Drosophila melanogaster: one gene and its partners. The protein of the gene in region 1 interacts with the protein of each later gene in a pairwise test. Each region holds a gene or a part of one and is shown in the gene's direction. Other genes may lie near its edges.

What was found.
Region 2: the proteins of Schip1 (region 1) and jumu interact in a two-hybrid assay, tested with the Drosophila melanogaster proteins (one large-scale study listed by BioGRID).
Region 3: the proteins of Schip1 (region 1) and CG8420 interact in a two-hybrid assay, tested with the Drosophila melanogaster proteins (one large-scale study listed by BioGRID).

The regions. Positions count from the first base shown.
Region 1 is NT_033779.5:10,327,561-10,333,363, reverse strand, and holds Schip1 (schwannomin interacting protein 1), read left to right. Parts: upstream 1-2,247; 5' UTR 2,248-2,284; intron 2,285-2,771; 5' UTR 2,772-2,784; coding exon 2,785-3,372; intron 3,373-3,432; coding exon 3,433-3,889; intron 3,890-3,953; coding exon 3,954-4,042; intron 4,043-4,101; coding exon 4,102-4,168; intron 4,169-4,228; coding exon 4,229-4,560; intron 4,561-4,623; coding exon 4,624-4,892; intron 4,893-4,953; coding exon 4,954-5,017; 3' UTR 5,018-5,164; downstream 5,165-5,803. Other genes in the region: Cox10 (cytochrome c oxidase assembly factor 10), read right to left, coding at 393-625, 690-1,376, 1,434-1,617, 1,683-1,754; RnrL (ribonucleoside diphosphate reductase large subunit), read left to right, coding at 5,486-5,537, 5,589-5,677. UniProt on the Drosophila melanogaster protein: Regulator of the Hippo/SWH (Sav/Wts/Hpo) signaling pathway, a signaling pathway that plays a pivotal role in organ size control and tumor suppression by restricting proliferation and promoting apoptosis.
Region 2 is NT_033777.3:10,348,366-10,353,486, forward strand, and holds the start of jumu (jumeau), read left to right. Parts: upstream 1-1,816; 5' UTR 1,817-2,162; coding exon 2,163-2,222; intron 2,223-5,121. Other genes in the region: CG31406 (uncharacterized protein), read left to right, coding at 555-752, 815-1,117, 1,180-1,242, 1,303-1,374, 1,431-1,544.
Region 3 is NT_033777.3:9,245,652-9,252,433, forward strand, and holds CG8420 (uncharacterized protein), read left to right. Parts: upstream 1-1,797; 5' UTR 1,798-2,022; coding exon 2,023-2,784; intron 2,785-3,173; coding exon 3,174-3,322; intron 3,323-4,268; coding exon 4,269-4,548; intron 4,549-5,004; coding exon 5,005-5,328; intron 5,329-5,561; coding exon 5,562-5,642; 3' UTR 5,643-5,780; downstream 5,781-6,782. Other genes in the region: Vps15 (vacuolar protein sorting 15), read right to left, coding at 5-102; St2 (sulfotransferase 2), read left to right, coding at 6,220-6,554, 6,699-6,782.

The DNA.
Region 1 (5,803 bases):
ATTTAAATTCCTTATTTTCAACAACCGATGAAACAACGGGAAACGGGATTACTTCCACTAACAATTTTTACCGTTTCCGTGCTTTTTTTGAAACAAGTGCTCAAAGAACAATATAATAAGGTCATACTTAGAATCTTGCAATTTAAATTACTGTACGGCTTAAGATTCCATGCCAAATTGTATATTTTAAATTTATTTGTATTCAGCGCCGGATTGGTTACACCGCATATTTTTCAAGGATGTCGTGTCATTTATTAGGCGCAACATATATTTGCCGCACAGGGGTACGTGTTTCCTTAATATTAAATGACTGTTTTTACAAGTTGCAGAACACTAAGTATATTTAAATTTCACACGATACTTAACATTTTATCAAATTAATGTTAATATTTCTATCTGGGTCCTTCGGCTACGGCGACGGGCAGGACATTACCAAGACTGCTAGCAGAATGCTTTATCGCACTGTACGTGGACTCCTTTTTGTTCTCCTCACCGGCGGGTTTGCTGAAATACCATTCCTTCTTATTGGTCAGAAATAGCAGCATCAGGGCGGGCAGGTGTATCAGTGAAAATCGGAACAGCTTCCGCGAGCTCCCACTATCTGACTTTTCATGAAACTTGTACGCTGCAAGCAAACAGAACGTATTAGACATAACATATAGGATTCCATGGTTAATGAGTATATTTACCAAGGTAGGCGAAGTACGCGTTCAGAGGTAGTGTTTCCAAGGCAAACCAGTAGTTCGTGACGTCCAGTACGGGTGCCATGGCTGAAAGTCCGACAATAGCCACCGAATATCGCAGCGCAGTGCGGCGACAAAGACCCGGATTGGTAACGGCCATCATTCGGTAGCCGGCACGTGAATAATCCGGCCGGAGGTTCCACGACAGAGCGTTGAAGTGCGGGAACTGCCACGCGTACAGCACTCCGGCTAGGATCATGGCGCCGGCGTCCAGGGTGGCTGCACAACCAGCCCATCCCATCAGCGGAGGAATGGCGCCCACTATCGATCCCACCCAGGTATTGACTATGCTGATACGCTTCATCGGTGTGTATATCGTGGTGTAGAGGAACAGGTTACCCGCTCCCAGCGCCGCCGTCAATCCATTTACTCCGAAATACAGCATACTTAAGCCGGCAGTTGCCGACACCGCGGCGAAGGTAACTGCATGCAGTGGTGTCATTTGCCCCGTGACGAGCACCCGGTTCTTTGTCCTCGACATCTGCGAATCGAAAGGAACTTCGTGATACTGATTAATGGCATTCGCCGCAGCCGAAACGAGTCCTGTGCCCAGGGTGCACATCGCAAACGTTGTGGGATCGAAAGCAGCTGGCGCCATGGCATAGCCGCCCATCGTTGTAATGACCACCAGCGCTGCAACGAAAGACAACTATGGTCGATGCTTGGCCAATGTTTAACCATCTCGCTTACATGTCAGCCGGAACTTGGATAGCTTCTTGTACTGGCTAAGAGTTTTTCCGGGCATGGTGTACGGACTAGGCATCCAGGTAATTTGACTATCGGGTAAATGCTGGACCTTTCCCGCCTGGGATACTGGCGACGCTGTAGTGACACCTTTGTCATCTTGGGAAGCTATCGTTGCTGCAGTGGAGTACTGAAAATTATTGGAAAGTTATAGTTTGTTATAGTGGTTTGTTGCGTAATGGCCAAGAACCTCACCCGAATGAGCACCAAATCAACCGGCGTTCTTAGCTGGGATTGCACCCGCCGAATTCCTTTGAATAATATCATTATTATTCACTTATTAGTTAGGTCTACGGTTATTTCATTTTTCTAGTTGTGTTTGGATTTCTATTACTTTTATATACAATGTTATGGTTTTTTAAATCACATTGTGCTTAAGTGTTACCATATCTCAAAATGAGAAAAATACTGAGTGCAAAAAATTTAATCAGAGGTATTCATAAATTGTTGGGATTGGGATTTTTTAAGAACTTTGAAAAAAACATAGCAAAAAGTTTTAAGCCTATTCCTTAAATAATAATAATATAAGTTTACATTAAAAGAAAATTTTGTGCCATGGTAAAACTCAGAGACATTTTCAGTTTCGATTTTTAAGTTGTTTTCTCAGTTTTTGCATATAAAAAAATAATAAATAATTAATAAATTTTTTGTTCCTTAGTAAATTAAATTATTTGTAATAATATTTAGTATTGTTAACAACACTATATACCAAGATTTGCGCATGCGTCAAACGTGTAATTTGCTTTATATGTGTGGGAGTAATTTTTACATCTGAATGCAGGAAGGCCGAAGTCCTTGTAAGTCTTCATTGATTCAATAATTAACATTTTAAACAAACGGAATACATTTTAGTTGTTAACAGTCGAAACAATCGTTTAAATAAAGCAAATACAAGAAATTATAATTGCAAGTAACTTTGACTATCTTCAGATATTTCTGTTACAAAAATTTGCACCTACACCAACTTTTTTCGGCTTGATTCTTGTTTCTCGATTTTAAGAATATACAAAATGTCAGTTCATTCATGTGTTGTTAAGGACAATGTAACATCTAAACACATATGAAGTTAAATACCAAATTGACTCTTAAAGTAATTTATAAATACGATAATGAGTTGAACTAAAGAAAATAGTGGAGTGGAGATAGTGGTGTCCTTTAGCAAGTAAAAGGAAATAAGAAAAAAACCATTTTATTGCTTTTACTATGTTTTAATTATGTTATGTTATTAATACACTGTAGTTGTAATCAATATTTAAGTCATCTAAACTTTTTTATTTCTTCTAGACAACTTATTCCAATGCCCATGCCAAGAATGGATATCTATATAACAAAGGGCATCACCAACCCCAACTACCCAGGATTTCAAAAGTTCGCGCATACCCTTTCCGATGACTACATAGAGTACTCCGACATGGAGTGCAATGAAAGCGATCTAACCGACAGCGATAGAGAAGATGACCCAACGTTCCCAAGTAAGATGGCCAAGGAATCGGGCTCGGAAACCTTTAAGAATGGCCAAGATTCGATTTTAAGTAACTGCGACAATGGAAACACATATATATCAGAAGAGGAAAGCGTGAACCGATCGGAAAACATTCCGGATATTGTAAATGAAAACTATAGTGCAACGTCGGAAAACTCCAAGCGAGCTTTGCAAAAACCTGACCTTATCTACAATCTAAGCCAGAATTATACGACCAATCCTGAGTTTCCATCCTGGTCATGTACAATTAATTCGAAATACGAAGGGCAGTTGCAAGGCCAAAGTCCTATCGATATTGTTGGTGATTTTGGCGGAGAAGTGGAACGTGAATTCGAGCTACTTCTCACTGGATATAAAAACAAGAAGGAAGCGGATGAGTTGAAGGGATCAAATTTAGATAAGGTATGTAGTTAGTTAAAATAAAAGAGATCAGGCACGTAAAAGCATAATTGTACCTTGCAGATTTGCGATGCAGAACTATCAAATGGAACGGAGGCTCTTAAGCAAACATCCTCGACGCGATTGTCCGGGAATAGTACTCGAAAAAATAAAAAGAAGAACACACCGTACGGACATCAGATCGTGAAAACGAAGCATCCAAAGCCGTCTCATGACGAACGTCAATTGCCACCGGACACGTTCGACTACAAAACGTATAGCCAACGAAAATATATCATTTGTGATGCTGACCAATACTCGTCCGTTCCGGAAAAGAACAAAAACGATAGTCCGAACCTAAATCAGGCTGAAATACCCAACATGAGCAGCTTGGAAATCGGTGGAAGTGGAAGCCAGCAGAATCTGGACGAGGACAATAACAAGGTGGCTAGTCGGAAGTACTCAAATCAATCGCGCTGGTCTCAGTACTTGGAAGATCCCATCAAGTACTCCAAAGATCCATGCTCCACCATGGTTTTAGGTAATTTCAAATATGAATTAATCGTTATAGATTCTTGAGTATATTAATATTTAAATTTTTATAGAACAATTTGATGCGTACAAGATTGCAAACGATATGGATGTAGAAACATTGCAAAACCATTATAAAAAGGTTAAACAGATAGAGAAAAAGGTAGGTACAATATAATCGGAATAATAATATCATTTATTAAATATATATTCCAATTACAGCGGCGATTCAATCGAGATGAGATACGCAAGAGATTGGCAATCGGAGATAAAGATTCTTTAAATAATGGTAAGACCAAAGATATTCTTTCATTACTATATTTTCTTAAATATTATATTTTATATTTAGACATTAAGAAGGAGGAATTTCTAACCGGATCCGATAATGAAAGTTATAGCTCCGACTCTGAGACGTGTCCAAAACTATCAAGTGGAGTACTTCGCAAGCAATCTGAATTCTGTGAAACGAAACGCAATAAGGAATTTGAAAACGATAAAATCTTTCAAAAGAACCAAATCAACCAAGATAAAAGCATGAATCATATGAATGGCAATCCCATTGGTACAACAGATTATCCGTCGGATGAAAACTTGTTTTTCTTTGCGAATCAATCAAAACTTCAAATAGAGGTTAGAATAGCACTAGCTCAATCGAAGGAAATAGCTCAGATGAAAGTAAAGGTGTGTTTTCCACAGGATTTATTTATTTTTTATTCAAATGTAATTGTAATTATCTATTTGTAGGCAAGGAAACATGGCGTAACTCCCATTGTGGACGTAATTCGATCAATGCTGTGTGATGTTGGCATCAAAATGAACTCCAACCATCGATGGATTTCGAGGCAGCTGCTCACTGGAATCCAAGTTCCGACTCTCCAGCTATTGGTCAACAATCTCCAGGAATATATTGAAAACCTAAACGTCACACTACTGGAGAGCCTTAAGGAGCGAGACGATTTGAATTCGGACCAAGATGATATATTACACGATCTCGAAAAAATAAATAACTTTTTGTATGTATACAAATATTATCTTATTTTAACTGTGTGTATTAATGTTAATATTTCTTTCTAGTGTTTTCCAACAGCAATCTGGACAGCAAGTCAATAAAATAGTTAGACACGGCCATTTAGATTAAACACTTGAAATTGCATATTTTATTAACAACTTGTTTACAAATATTATAATCTCTTGTATAATTGATAACAATCTACCGAGACCGTTTATAAAACACATACTCAAATGTTCTTCAAACACTGTTATATTTATGTAATTATATAAAGCTAAATAAATAAAAAATACAACTAATTATTTATATTAACACTAAACTAAATTTGTTTTTATAAAACACCTGTGTATTGATACAAGCAGTTATTTATATATTTATTTGATTATCTAAAATGATATATTTTTTAAGAATATGATATAAATGTGAGTGGAACGGTTCGAAATAATTTTGTTTCTTGATCGTTTCAAAGTTAGGCGTTTTGAAAGTGCGGCATTTGATCAACATGTCGCACGGTAACACTAATAATGACTTTAATTTGGCGCCTTTTTGTGCTTGCAACAATCAATTTGCCGCCTCTTGTGAAATATAGCAGTCAAGATGTTGAAGAACAAGTCCATGAAAACCTCAAAGTTATATGTTATTAAGAGAGGTGGGTTACAATTCCTTGTCGCTATGACTGTTCTTAATATATTTATTTCAGATGGCAGGCAGGAGGAGGTGCACTTCGATAAAATAACCTCAAGAATCCAGAAGCTTTGCTACAACTTGAACATGGATTTTGTTGATCCTGTAAGTTTGTTTCTATTGTTTAAAGGTGCTCATCACACAGGTTGCACTCGAACCTAGTAAGTATGATGCGTATTTATATGTGATGGGGTTTGATTTTATCTGCAACAGAATGTGCGAGCGCCCCTG
Region 2 (5,121 bases), on another chromosome or scaffold:
AGAGCCTCGCTCTTGGGTTCTTAAGATTAGGTAGCGTTGAAAGAGGGCAGTCAAATCTGCTTAGGTCAGGCTTTAGGATGTTTACAAGAACGGCTGCGCTGCCAAAGATAAACGAATGCTGCGCAGCTGGGATACGTTATGGAAAATTACTAGAGTGCATTACTGATTTCTTTGAAATAATGGAAGTGGCTGGTTTGGACCACCCAAATACGTCACTATATATATATATATAATTTTTATAATTATAATATATAATATTATAATTTTTAATAAATGAACTGCAAGCTAAGGGCTTTATTTCCTGCGACTGAACTTAAGTGGTTATTATAAGTTTATTAAGTGGTTATATATCTTTGGGAAAAATATTTCAGATATTTTTAAATTTGTGACTTCGTGTTTGGAAGTAGCCTGGTTGTCTAGTGTCGCGCCACTAACCAAATAACCTATTTACCTTTTTACTGAAATTCCCACATCTTATTGCACTTCGCTTGAATCTACACCAAATTTCCATTATCTTGATTTTTTGAATTTTCTACGTTAGCTTTGAACCGAAAATGGTGGTTACTCGCAGTGCAGCTACGAAGAAGCAGAACCAAGTGCTGACCTTATCTGACCAGAACATCCTAGCAGAATCTTCGAGGACCAAAGGACCTCCTGTGCCCAAGAAGAATGTTAAGAAATTGCCGACTGCACGTCAGTGTGTCAAGGTGGCTGCAAATCTTCTAGACGCACAAGAACCTAACGAAAATGAAGTAAGAAATATCCAAAGATATATAAATATTTGTTCAAACATTACAAAATATAAAATATTTAGAACACAGGAACCCAAAGGAAGGATGGAAAGCAACTGGATTCCAAATTGAGTTCCACAGTCCAAAATACAGAAGCAGCGAGGTCCAAAGAAACTCCTGCACCCAAGAAGAATGTTAAGAAACTGCAGGCTGCACTTCCGTGCGCCGACGCGGCTGCAAATCTTTTGGAGGAACAAGCATCTAATGAAATGAATGAAGAAGGACCTCCTGTGCCCAAGAAAAATGTGAAGAAACTTCCGGCTGCACGTCAGTGTGTCAAGGTGGCTGCAAATCTTCTAGACGCACAAGAATCTATCGAAAATGAAGTAAGAAATATCCAAAGATATAAAAATATTTGTTCAAACATTACAAAATATAAAATATTTAGAAAACAGGAACAAAAAGGAAGGATGGGAAGCAACTGCAGGCACAAAATTCGAATGAAAATGAAGTAAGAAATATCAAAAGATATGCATATATTAAAATATTATAAAATATATAATATATTTAGAAAACAAGCACATTAAAGAAGGATAAAAAACTACTGGCTTCCAAAACTCCAGAAGCAGCGACAAACGATAATGTAAAATGAAGATACAGATACTAATAATATTAGTATTTATAAAATTCCAATTTTAGGCAAATCCAAATATGAAACCAAGCCTAAAGAAGTCGACAAGGGAGCACAAGTCCAAAAAGTGTAATGACATTCAAAAAGCTGGAAAAGATCACATCGAACATCAAGCCGAATAATTTGTATCACGTTGCGTTAATTGTTTTTGTTTTTAAAGTTCAAAATTGATTTTAGTTGCTTTTATAAGCAAAAATATAAATATAAATAATTAAGAATACCTAATAACAAAGAATGCCGAACAGTGAGGTTACCTTTTAAAAAGCCGTTACACGCAGGGTTCGTTTCCCGGCTAAATGGTTACCCGAGCTCCCAACCTGCCACTGGTTGCGGTGCCGTGTATTGTCAACGTTTTCCAAAAACGGAGGTACGGTCACTCCAGTCTCGGGCGCTCTCATTTTTCGTTCGAATTCTGACCGGGCGGGTTTATTTTATCATTGCTCCGCGACTTCGAATACGAGACCGGTGTTGTGCGCTCCTGATAACTGCGATATATTGAGCGCGAGCGCCATGTCCTTTTGCTGGAAGTAGAATTTGAAAAGTGCAGAGATCACGGCTTGGATTGCCAAGGAACAACGGTGTTGAGACTGAATATATTTTTTGTGCGCTGTTTCGAAATAGAACCGTTAATTGGAATTGGCAGTAAGAAGCAGAGAGGCGGACGATATTCCGGTGAAATCTTCGCCAGGCGGAAACATCGATCAAAACAAAGTGCATGCTAAAAACATAAAAGATTCAACATGTTCGAACTAGAGGATTATTCGAGCGGCATACATGAGGGATTCTTCAGCAAATATGCGGTGAGTTGAAACAAAAAAGGCGAGCTAAGCGAGAATAATAACTTTTCGCGAACATTTCGCCGGCCGGCCACACGCACCCATACACTCGCATGTGCCGAGACACAGACAGGCGCAATTTTTGAATTTAACGTTCGGTCTCCACGTTCCCCACACCCCAACTGTTCCCATACCGACATGAAGAGCAAAACCCACCACCAAGAACAGTTTGGCGGCGAAACTTTGGTTCCACTCGCCATCTCGCTCGCCCCTGCGGCCAAATATTCCCCGCCTCGCTCGCTCCAAAGCTGTGTTGTTGACTCGCCAATTCGCCCTCGCCGCGTTTAACGTTTGTGTGTGTGTGTGTCTGTGTTTACATTTGATCGTTAAACTTTGAAAAATTTCTTTTTCGCCCAAAAAATTGATGATTAATTACAACCGGAACAGCGGAGCGCCGATAAAAAATAATGGAAGTATAGTACCATTGCGTTTGAGGAAGTCTGCTGTTTATTTTGGGGGTTACTAACTCGGCTAGCCGCAGAATTCACCTCTGTTAAGCGACTGTTATTTGCACTTAATTGTGGACATCAATTCACTTTTCACGGGAGGGGATTGCCTGTATTATTCTACTTGTATTATTAAGACACTTGGAGTATTTTACTTTGGCGCACACAGCACAAGTCTTTCTTTTGTTGTAGCCATTCGCAATTATTTGGCTTATTTATTTTCTGTCACACACAGCGGCGGATGAAACAATAGCACACCTTATAATATATTATTTCTTGCAATTTATAAGGTTTAAGAATTTCTTATCTTCATTTTCAAAGAGTAACTCTATAATATAACACAGTATGAGAGGAGAAGGTACCAAAGATTTTTTTTTAACTAAAAGGATTATTTCTTCGGCATAAATTTACTTGTATAATGTTAGAGAGTTTCTCTGGTCGAGTATTCACTGTAGAGTTACGTTATCACATTCTACAGTTTAGCACAGGTTAATAAATTTGCAGTCCTATTTCCTTGGCCGCCAATATGCGCTGAGTACTTTAGTGTGTTTCTCCGCCGGTTCGCTGAGTTTTTCGTCTGGTGGCCTCTTCTTCGGCTTTTGCGTTTTAAACTTTTTGAAGGCCAAGCGTTCACCTCGAATCTCTCGGTTTTCATCTGTTTTAGTCACAGTCCAACCAAGTGGCTAATGATTTTGGGCCAGAAAGTGGGGGTATGGCTTTGAAGTTTGGGCTAAACTGACCGCCTAAATTGTCAGTCCGTCAGAGGAACTGACCTCCAGCAAAGTTTGCACATTTTCAATAGAAAATCAAACGAACGGACTTGGGAAAACACGTGCGCCTGTTACTTGCAACATGCAAAACTCCACACACGCACGCACGCACAATCTACAAGTGTTGCGAATTCCCAGTAAGCGTGTGCGTGTGCGAAGGGGAACAAAGAAAAGCAAACAAAATAAATCGTTTCATCTTGTACGCTTGTGTAAGTGCGAGAACAAAAGAAAACCAAAAAGCAACAGTCGACAATAATTCCCACATCAAAAGCTTTTCTCCCACCTTCTCCATCTCTTTCGCACTGTTCTCTTTCGTCTCCGAGGTTTCGGCAACCTTTGTTGCAGCAACATGGCAGCAAAGAAAGAAATTAGTGAAACAAAAATCAAAGCAAAAAGCCAACAAAGAACAACTTCAAAGTTCAACGCGCTTTCCACTGGGGCCTTTCAAATGGGGCGATTTCAGTGGGTGGCGGCACACCTACCCCAAAATGCGCAGTAGGTGGGAAAGAGATGGGCGCACAAGGATTGTGGGAGGACTGCCACTTGTCTGCATTTCGCTCTGCTGCCGAATATGAGCGCCCAGCTGTATGCCGCATAGATTTTCTCACGGCCCCAGCGCACACACACCCATACACATATTGGTACAAACACTAGTCTGGGGGCAGTTGCTATTACCCATATAAAACTTCAGAGCGCCTAAATCGTGTAATACCAAAAAGATACTTGAAACTATGCAAAGTAAGATATAGACTAATTTAAATACAACTTATTATGTGTCCACATGTCATTTGCATTTTGAAGAAATGCATTGGCTTCTCTCCCTTTCTTCTTTCTATAAGAAAATGTAAATCTCCATGAAGCCAACTGTTTGTTTGTATGGCAATTAAGTTAATGAACAAAGAAGTTATGGAGCTTGTGTAATTCGTAAAAATCGTAAGATGCCTCACCAAACCAACTAATTGCCCCAAAAAACCCTCACAGTCTCAGCAAATGGACTTCCAGGCTAAAAATAAACATTTGGCAAATCTGATTTCTTGAAACACATGCAGTTAATGAATGAAATAACCCGGAGAATCTGCCGATTTACTTCCCGCTAAACCGAGAGATTTGAAAACGATTTACGACCCTGGATCATCCTGTGTGTTTAAGGATGTTACTTTGCGTTGGGAATCGGTCGGCAATTCAGGCAAGCGACTTTTATTGCACCATAAAGTAATTTACAAATGGGCGCTCATGACCTCAGGGAAGATTCGTCCAGAAAGGTCCACGGAAATCGTTGGTTTTACCTGAGTGAGGGATTCCATTGCATTCCATTCCTTACCATCCTCCTCCCATCATTATTTACCATCTCTTCTTGTGTTTTCTCTGTGTGTCAGCAGAGTGATTTCCTTCGGAGGTGAAAGGCGGAGAAAGATGGAAAATATGTGCAACAAAAGAAACGAAGCAGATGCAGGAAATGCAGGAGAACACTTACAACCATCGCCAGTGACGAATCCTGCCGAGAAAGGACGAAAATACCCTCGTCGGCAGCTCCTTGGTTCGTTGCACAACTTGAAAAGGCCAACTGTAGGCAGCTGCAACAGAGCAGCAAAAACTTTTTATGGCCTACGGTGGGTTGTATGGGAGGGGGTGCTGAAATACGGGAGT
Region 3 (6,782 bases), on another chromosome or scaffold:
TTACTTGGAACTGAAGGCGATCTCGGATCCAAACTGGCCGGAAAAATAGTGTTCCACCGCATAAATTTGCGAAGGGGCAATGCCCACCAGTTGATTGCCCATCCTGATTGCTATTGCACTTTGTAGTGCCAGCAATTATAGGTAATTTTGTTAGTTTATTCAACAATAACAAGAAAACGAAGTCTTCGTCTTTTCTGCGCAGCCAAACAGCTGGTGGCGAAAACCAATCGATGTTATCGATAAGTACACTGGCCAACATATTCACTTCTTTTTTTAAGTTTCCTAAACATTTTATCAACATTATTTTATCATTTTTTATATTGGCAATACTTTTTCAAAAATCGCGGATTTAAATATTTCCTAATTGAAATTTTATTTTACACACTTATTTCATTAAGGAACATCGATATACCGCACACCAACTAATAACAATCGATAATATGGTATGAGTTCAAATACATAATTCAATTTAAAAAAGGCCGCGAATTTTGTATGTGACAAGTACTTTAGAGTGGAGTTTATTCCAATAACTTTGAATTTACAAACATAAGAATGAAACTCTATTCGAATTATTTAATATGCTAATAACTAATTTATGGGGAAAGGTCATCTTGCTTCGGAGTTGGAAGAACGTGAAGAAAGTAAAGAAGTGAACAAGATCGATACAGATACACCTCTTTAGTTCGGCATGACGGACCCATTAAACTGATTATAAATTTATGTAACGGGCACACTGCAATCTGTTTGTTGAATAAATTCGAAATGGGCCATGACGAGAGCCAAAATCAACCCACCACCAAGAGTCCAGGTGACAAATGTGCCGAGTATTTCATTGGGTTGCTTAAAGAACTTGAAATGAGAACTTTAATTTAAGGTGCAAACCAATATATACCCTTGTATATAGCGGATATTCAATGTTATTAAATATTTAATATAACTTTTATTTAGATTGAAAATGGGTATAGTGTGCATTGAGAATTCAATCGAAAAGGTTTATAAACGATTTAACATTTACACAAAATTAATTTGTGAAAAAATATGGTTTAAAATGTAGTTTTAATTTAATTAATGTTAATTTTTCAATTTTCCAAGACCAGTTCTTTTTCATTGTAGTATAGTATACCCAAATAAAGAGCCACAAATGTTGTGTTGATACTCGTATTTACATAAAAAGCCCAAACAGGCGGCTTTAACGAAAGCGTTGCCATCAAATCTGACTGCCAATGTCCACCAACCACCATTCCGAGAAGAGAACTTTCAAAGCGGACAATCGTGTGTAAAAAGAAAGTAGGTGGGTAGGTAGGAAACATAAACAAAGTGTGAGCCATAGAACCGGGTACACATAAAAAAAAAGGTTGCAACCATAATTTCTTTATTTGATCTCTACAAAATGATACTACTTTTGATAATAGAGAAAGTGTTATGATTATCTTAATATGTTATTTTGATCTCTCTATATAAACATTTAACTTAACTCTATCCCAACACAATAAGCGGTTCTGATCTTTGCATAACAATTTTTTTTCTCTGTAAAAACCAAAGCTCTTCTGCTCTTTCTTCGCCCTCTCTTTTGTCTCGTTTTTTTTTCTGAAGACGGCGAACCTGACGTGGTGTTCAAAGCGCAGGCGTAAAGAATTCCATTCCGCGAGAGAGAGTCTGTCTGGAAACAGGTGAGAGCGGCGAATAGAGTTGGAGATTTGGATCCGAAGAAAGGGGAGTCCAGAGAGCGCTCACATCGAACATGTTCGATGGCCCCCAAAGAATCGTTGGCTTAAGAAGTGTTACAAACTGGCCCAGAGCCGCAGAAGAAAGAAAGTTTTCGGCTGTGCTGGCTGCTCTACGCTGCGATCTCCGTTCTCCGTTCTCCAATCTTTGTAATATCTGTTTAGATATACATAGTTATAGTATATACATACATATATTTCGTGTGCTCAGTGGAGCGTCTTCCGCGTTTTGTGGCTGCGTCGCTTAATTGGCCCAAAAGTATCTCAAGTGTGTGATTGTGAAAGTTCCTGAAGCAAAATGTACGTGAGACGAGCTCTGCTCTTGGCCTGCCTGCTGTGCCTCCAGCCGCTGGGTCCATCTATGGCCAGCGAGGATGAGTCCAATCCGCTGCTGGACATGGCCTCCATGTTCTTCCAGGAGGCGCTGTCCAACCAGAACGGTGGCAACAATGGAGGAGGCGGTGCTGGTTTGGCGGGTGTGGCCTCGCTAATTGGCACCTTCATGCAAGCGAGTGGCAAATCTGGAGGCGCCGGAGCAGGAGGCGGCGGTGCTGGTGGCGCCATGCAGATCCTCTCGGGCCTGGGCAGTCTTCTGTCCAAGAGTCAGGGCGGTCAGAGCGGTGGCTTCGATCCCTCCATCATTGGCAATGTCCTCGAGATGTTCACCCAGGGCGATGACGAGGAAGCCACTCCACAGCAAAAGCGCAGCAATGGCGGTGGCTCTGAATCTGGCATTGGTCTGGATACCATACTGCAAGTGGCATCCGCCTTCATGAACACCCAGGGCAACGATAAGGCCACACATCATCACCAGCAGAAGCGATCCACCGCCACGGAACCGGAATCCGAGAACGGACTGATGAACCTTCTGCCACTGGTCATGCAGGCGGTTAGCTCCTTTGCCGGTCCCGAGGGTCAGAGCACCCAGGAGAAGCACAAGAGCCACGCCTGGGTGCTGCCCCCATTCCTGGAGCACATTCACGTGCTGTGGGATCACTTCTCCAACTCCGAGCTGGCTGATGCGTTGTACGAGAAGTCCGGAGTTAACAAAATCATGAAGGTGGATGCATAAATCAGACTTAACTATATATTGTTGACGTTTTGATGTTAGAACATTTTATTAGATTTTAGTACGCTTTTTGCATAAAATATAGCACTTTTTAATACAATATTGGAAAATATTCAACATATTAAAGACCTTAGGAACACATTAAGAGTAAACTATTTTGACTACACATGCGTAAACAAAATGTAGAGAAAATCTTTAAAACAAAATAATCTATATATACTCATTTAAATTGATATAGAAACAATTAGCGGAAAAAAAAACAATTTAAAATTTGTTTCCTAGCTAAAATACAAATTCAAATTCTGAAATGTTACGCTACTAAAATAATATGTTAAATACCAATTTGTAATGCTAATTACTCTACTCTTATCCACCTCCAGGGCTTCAAGGGTTCCGATGGCAAGCTGGACTATGATAAGCTCTTCGAGTCGCTGAATAACCAATCCTTCCGTCGCCGCTGGATCAAGTCGGCCACACTCTACCTGGCCGACTGGGCCAGCTACCTGGCCAATCCCGAGGTGTATCTCAGGTGAGTCTCGGCCGGCCAACGTGGCTCGATCTTCAGCGATGGCCAAAGCGTGTTAATTGTGGATCACGTTCTGCTCTGCAACGGTCCCAGTGCATTTAGCACCTGGCTGCCATTCTTGGTCACACTCCAAGACCACCTTCCAGTCCAAATCCGATGCCCATTCCGATTCTAATTCAGAATCAGATTTCGAACAGCTGCTGGCAAAGCCTGTGCTAACCATTTCCCGTTAGCGACAACCCGTTTGGCCATCGAGCATGTTCGATGCGGCTACCTTTTGACCCACTTTTTTCGGTGCTGGTGCTGCTTTTAGAACGTGCCTGCTAATCCAACTGGTCAACAACAGTGGCAAGTACCAAGTCCAGGCACTGATACAGTTACAGTTGATATGCAGAAGATACAGAAGTCAACGGCATCGTTAAAACAAACAAATAAATAAAGCGGGCCAAAACCGGTTGGCGGTTTTAGCCAGGGGAAATTGCCTTGGCAGACCGGGTACACATGTCTGAAAAATCAAGTAATTCTTATCTACAAATCTTCTCAATTCATAATGACCAATCGAAACTGTTATTTAAAATGCAATAGTATAAGTATTAATTATATGTATTCCTTAAGCAAATCTCCAAAACTATGAATACTTTTCACATAGGAAAAACGACTTGGGAATTATAAGAAATCAGCATGCAGCGAGCAGAAAAACATTAATTTAAGCAATTTTTCTTTGTGTACACATTGGATTCAGACATTTTTGCATGATTCTTAAGTAGGTCAGGCTTCTCAGACTTCTTGGTCTTCTTATTTTTTGTTTGTTTTTGTTTTGCGTTGCCCCCAACGTTAGACAACAACAAAAGCGCACAACAACTTCCACTTTCTAGAGACCCTTTCACTCGGCGGTGCTGCGTGATTGAAACTCATCAATTTGCCCGCTTCTCGGCACTTTCTTATACAGGTACTTCCAGACGGCACAGATCATGTTTAACGGCTTGCTGAAGTCTCAAGGTTACCCCAAGCAGACCCACTTCGATCCCTCCCGTCCGGGCGAGACCATCTCGAATCTCTTGGACCATGTGGCCAAGCATCATCTGAACGTTAAGATCGATTCGAGGCAGTACGTCAAGCCAGCCGTGGGCTATGCCAAGGAACTGCTAAAACTTGGCCAGGCACGCGGATTACTTCAGTTCAATGCCACCGAGATCAGCGACAAGCTAACGGATACGCTTAACCTGGAGGTAAGCAGATTCTCTGAACTCTGAACTTAACTGATATGGGAACTGGGCAACGCAGTTGGTAATTGGAGATATATATCTGAGAATAGGAAATAGCTGAGGTGAAAATAATAGCACTAATTAAATAGTAATTCTGTTTAAAGTTATGTACTATATGATCCTTATATGTATGATTACTTTACTGAAGTTGCTGATAGTAGCTAAAGTATAAAGTATAAAGTACTAAAGGAGCTAATAGGAACTGATTACATTACTGAACTATATCATTGAAAACTATAACTAATTTATCCCATATGATTCTTGCAAATGCTTTGACCCATTTCGACGTAAAATGAATTTGTTATAATTGAATAACTTGGCCCAGTTAGATGTACTAAACACTTAGTTTGAAGCAAATCAAATTAATTACGCCACTATTTTCTCCTCCACGCATCCGTCAATGGATCAAATGGCAAACAGGTTATTGAACCGGTGCTGAAAGTCCATCGCGCCTACAGATACATCTCCAAGTCGCCGCAATGCGATCGCTACGTGCTCTGTCAGCTGAATGCAGCGGCTCTCGATCAGCAGGAGAAGCAGAGGCAGCACGACCAATACCAGCAGCACCACCAGCCCAAGCAGAGCCAACTGAATCGCCCGACATCGGCGTCCAGTCTAATTGCCGGAGTTAGTCCGAAAATCGTTAAGATCGGGAGCATGGGTGCGGCAATCTTCATTAGCACGGAAACCGGTACGCCGTTCTGGACCCTCTTCGGTGTGATCAATGCGCCATACAATTGCGAGGTGAGTAATAACGGCCACAGTGATGCACTGAAAAGAAATGGAATACATCTAGCATGAAGATGATGAAATCTCTAAGGGGATATAAAAGATAACTAAAAGTATGCTGCGTTACGTAGAACGTATTCTTTTGGTACTCTTTTTGTACGAGTAAATAATCATATATATTTTTCTCTCTCTGTACTTCCATTTGTCGCCGCTTTCTAACCGATATTTCTGCGATTGCACGCCAACAGGCCAAATATCCAGTCGACTGCAATGGTTTCCACGAGGGCGAGGCCAAGGTGACCACGGAATATATCCACAACGAGTTGTAGTATTCCAGTTGCAAATGGACAAGCGAGATCCGGACAAGAAAAGTAGAAGACGAAGGCTCATTAAGACGATTTAGCTGTAATTGAGATAAAGATTTCGTGTGTATATAGTATTACGGATTGAAATATATATTTAAATTTAAACAGAACCTTTTATTTTAAACTGTGTCATAAGGGTCATGAGATGGTTATCTAACTATTTCTAATCATAGTTGTTGTCTACAGATTTTACGATCTATTTGAAGTCAACGAACCGCAAAAGAAAAGCCATCCAACTACAGTCAAACTTAGCTAAGTGAGATCACTTTAAATAATCAGACCAATAAGACAATTTTCAGGATTTTCACTTTAATGATTTTGAATTTTAGTTATTCAAAAACCTGATCTTAGTTTCAGGCAACTTATTGAAGCCTTAATTCACCTTACAAGAGCTTTTTTTGCTGCACAAACCAGTTCGTGTTGGTGGAAAGTCCCATTTCAGTGCCTCGTTTGAACTTGCACTTGCACTTGCCACTCGACTTGACTTTGACTTCATTGTGCTTTGGTAATTTGGCCAAAGCAGTTGAAAGATACAGGAGCCATGCAGCTAATTTATCGTGAACTCGAGGAGGACATACTTCGACGCACTAATGCAGTCTTTCCGGTACAAAATTGCTTTGTTGAGGTCCTCCCCGATCAGTTTATCATTCCCAGAAAGTACGTGGAGCTGGGCGAATCGATTCGATCGCTTCCCGTTTACCAGGACGACGTATGGATGGTGTCCTATCCACGAACCGGATCGACGTGGGCCCAGGAGATGGTCTGGCTGCTGGGTCACCAATTGGATTACGTGGCCGCTGAGCAAGATTTAAGATTGCGATCTCCGCTCATTGAACTATCCGCTTTGTTTAGCATCGATCATCACGAGACGGTGGCGTGAGTATGAAGAAACTATATCATTCTGAACTCATATACACATTACTTGTACACTAATGTATATATATATAAGTGAGTGAAGCGGGGAAAAATTCATATTCAAAAAGCTTTTTCACCTCTTTGCACTTTCTCCTCGCCTGACAGCCAAAAGTTTGGCAATACCGTGGATCTGGTTCGCAATCTGCCACGCCCACGTTTTGCACGCTCCCACCTGCCGTGGCCTTTGCT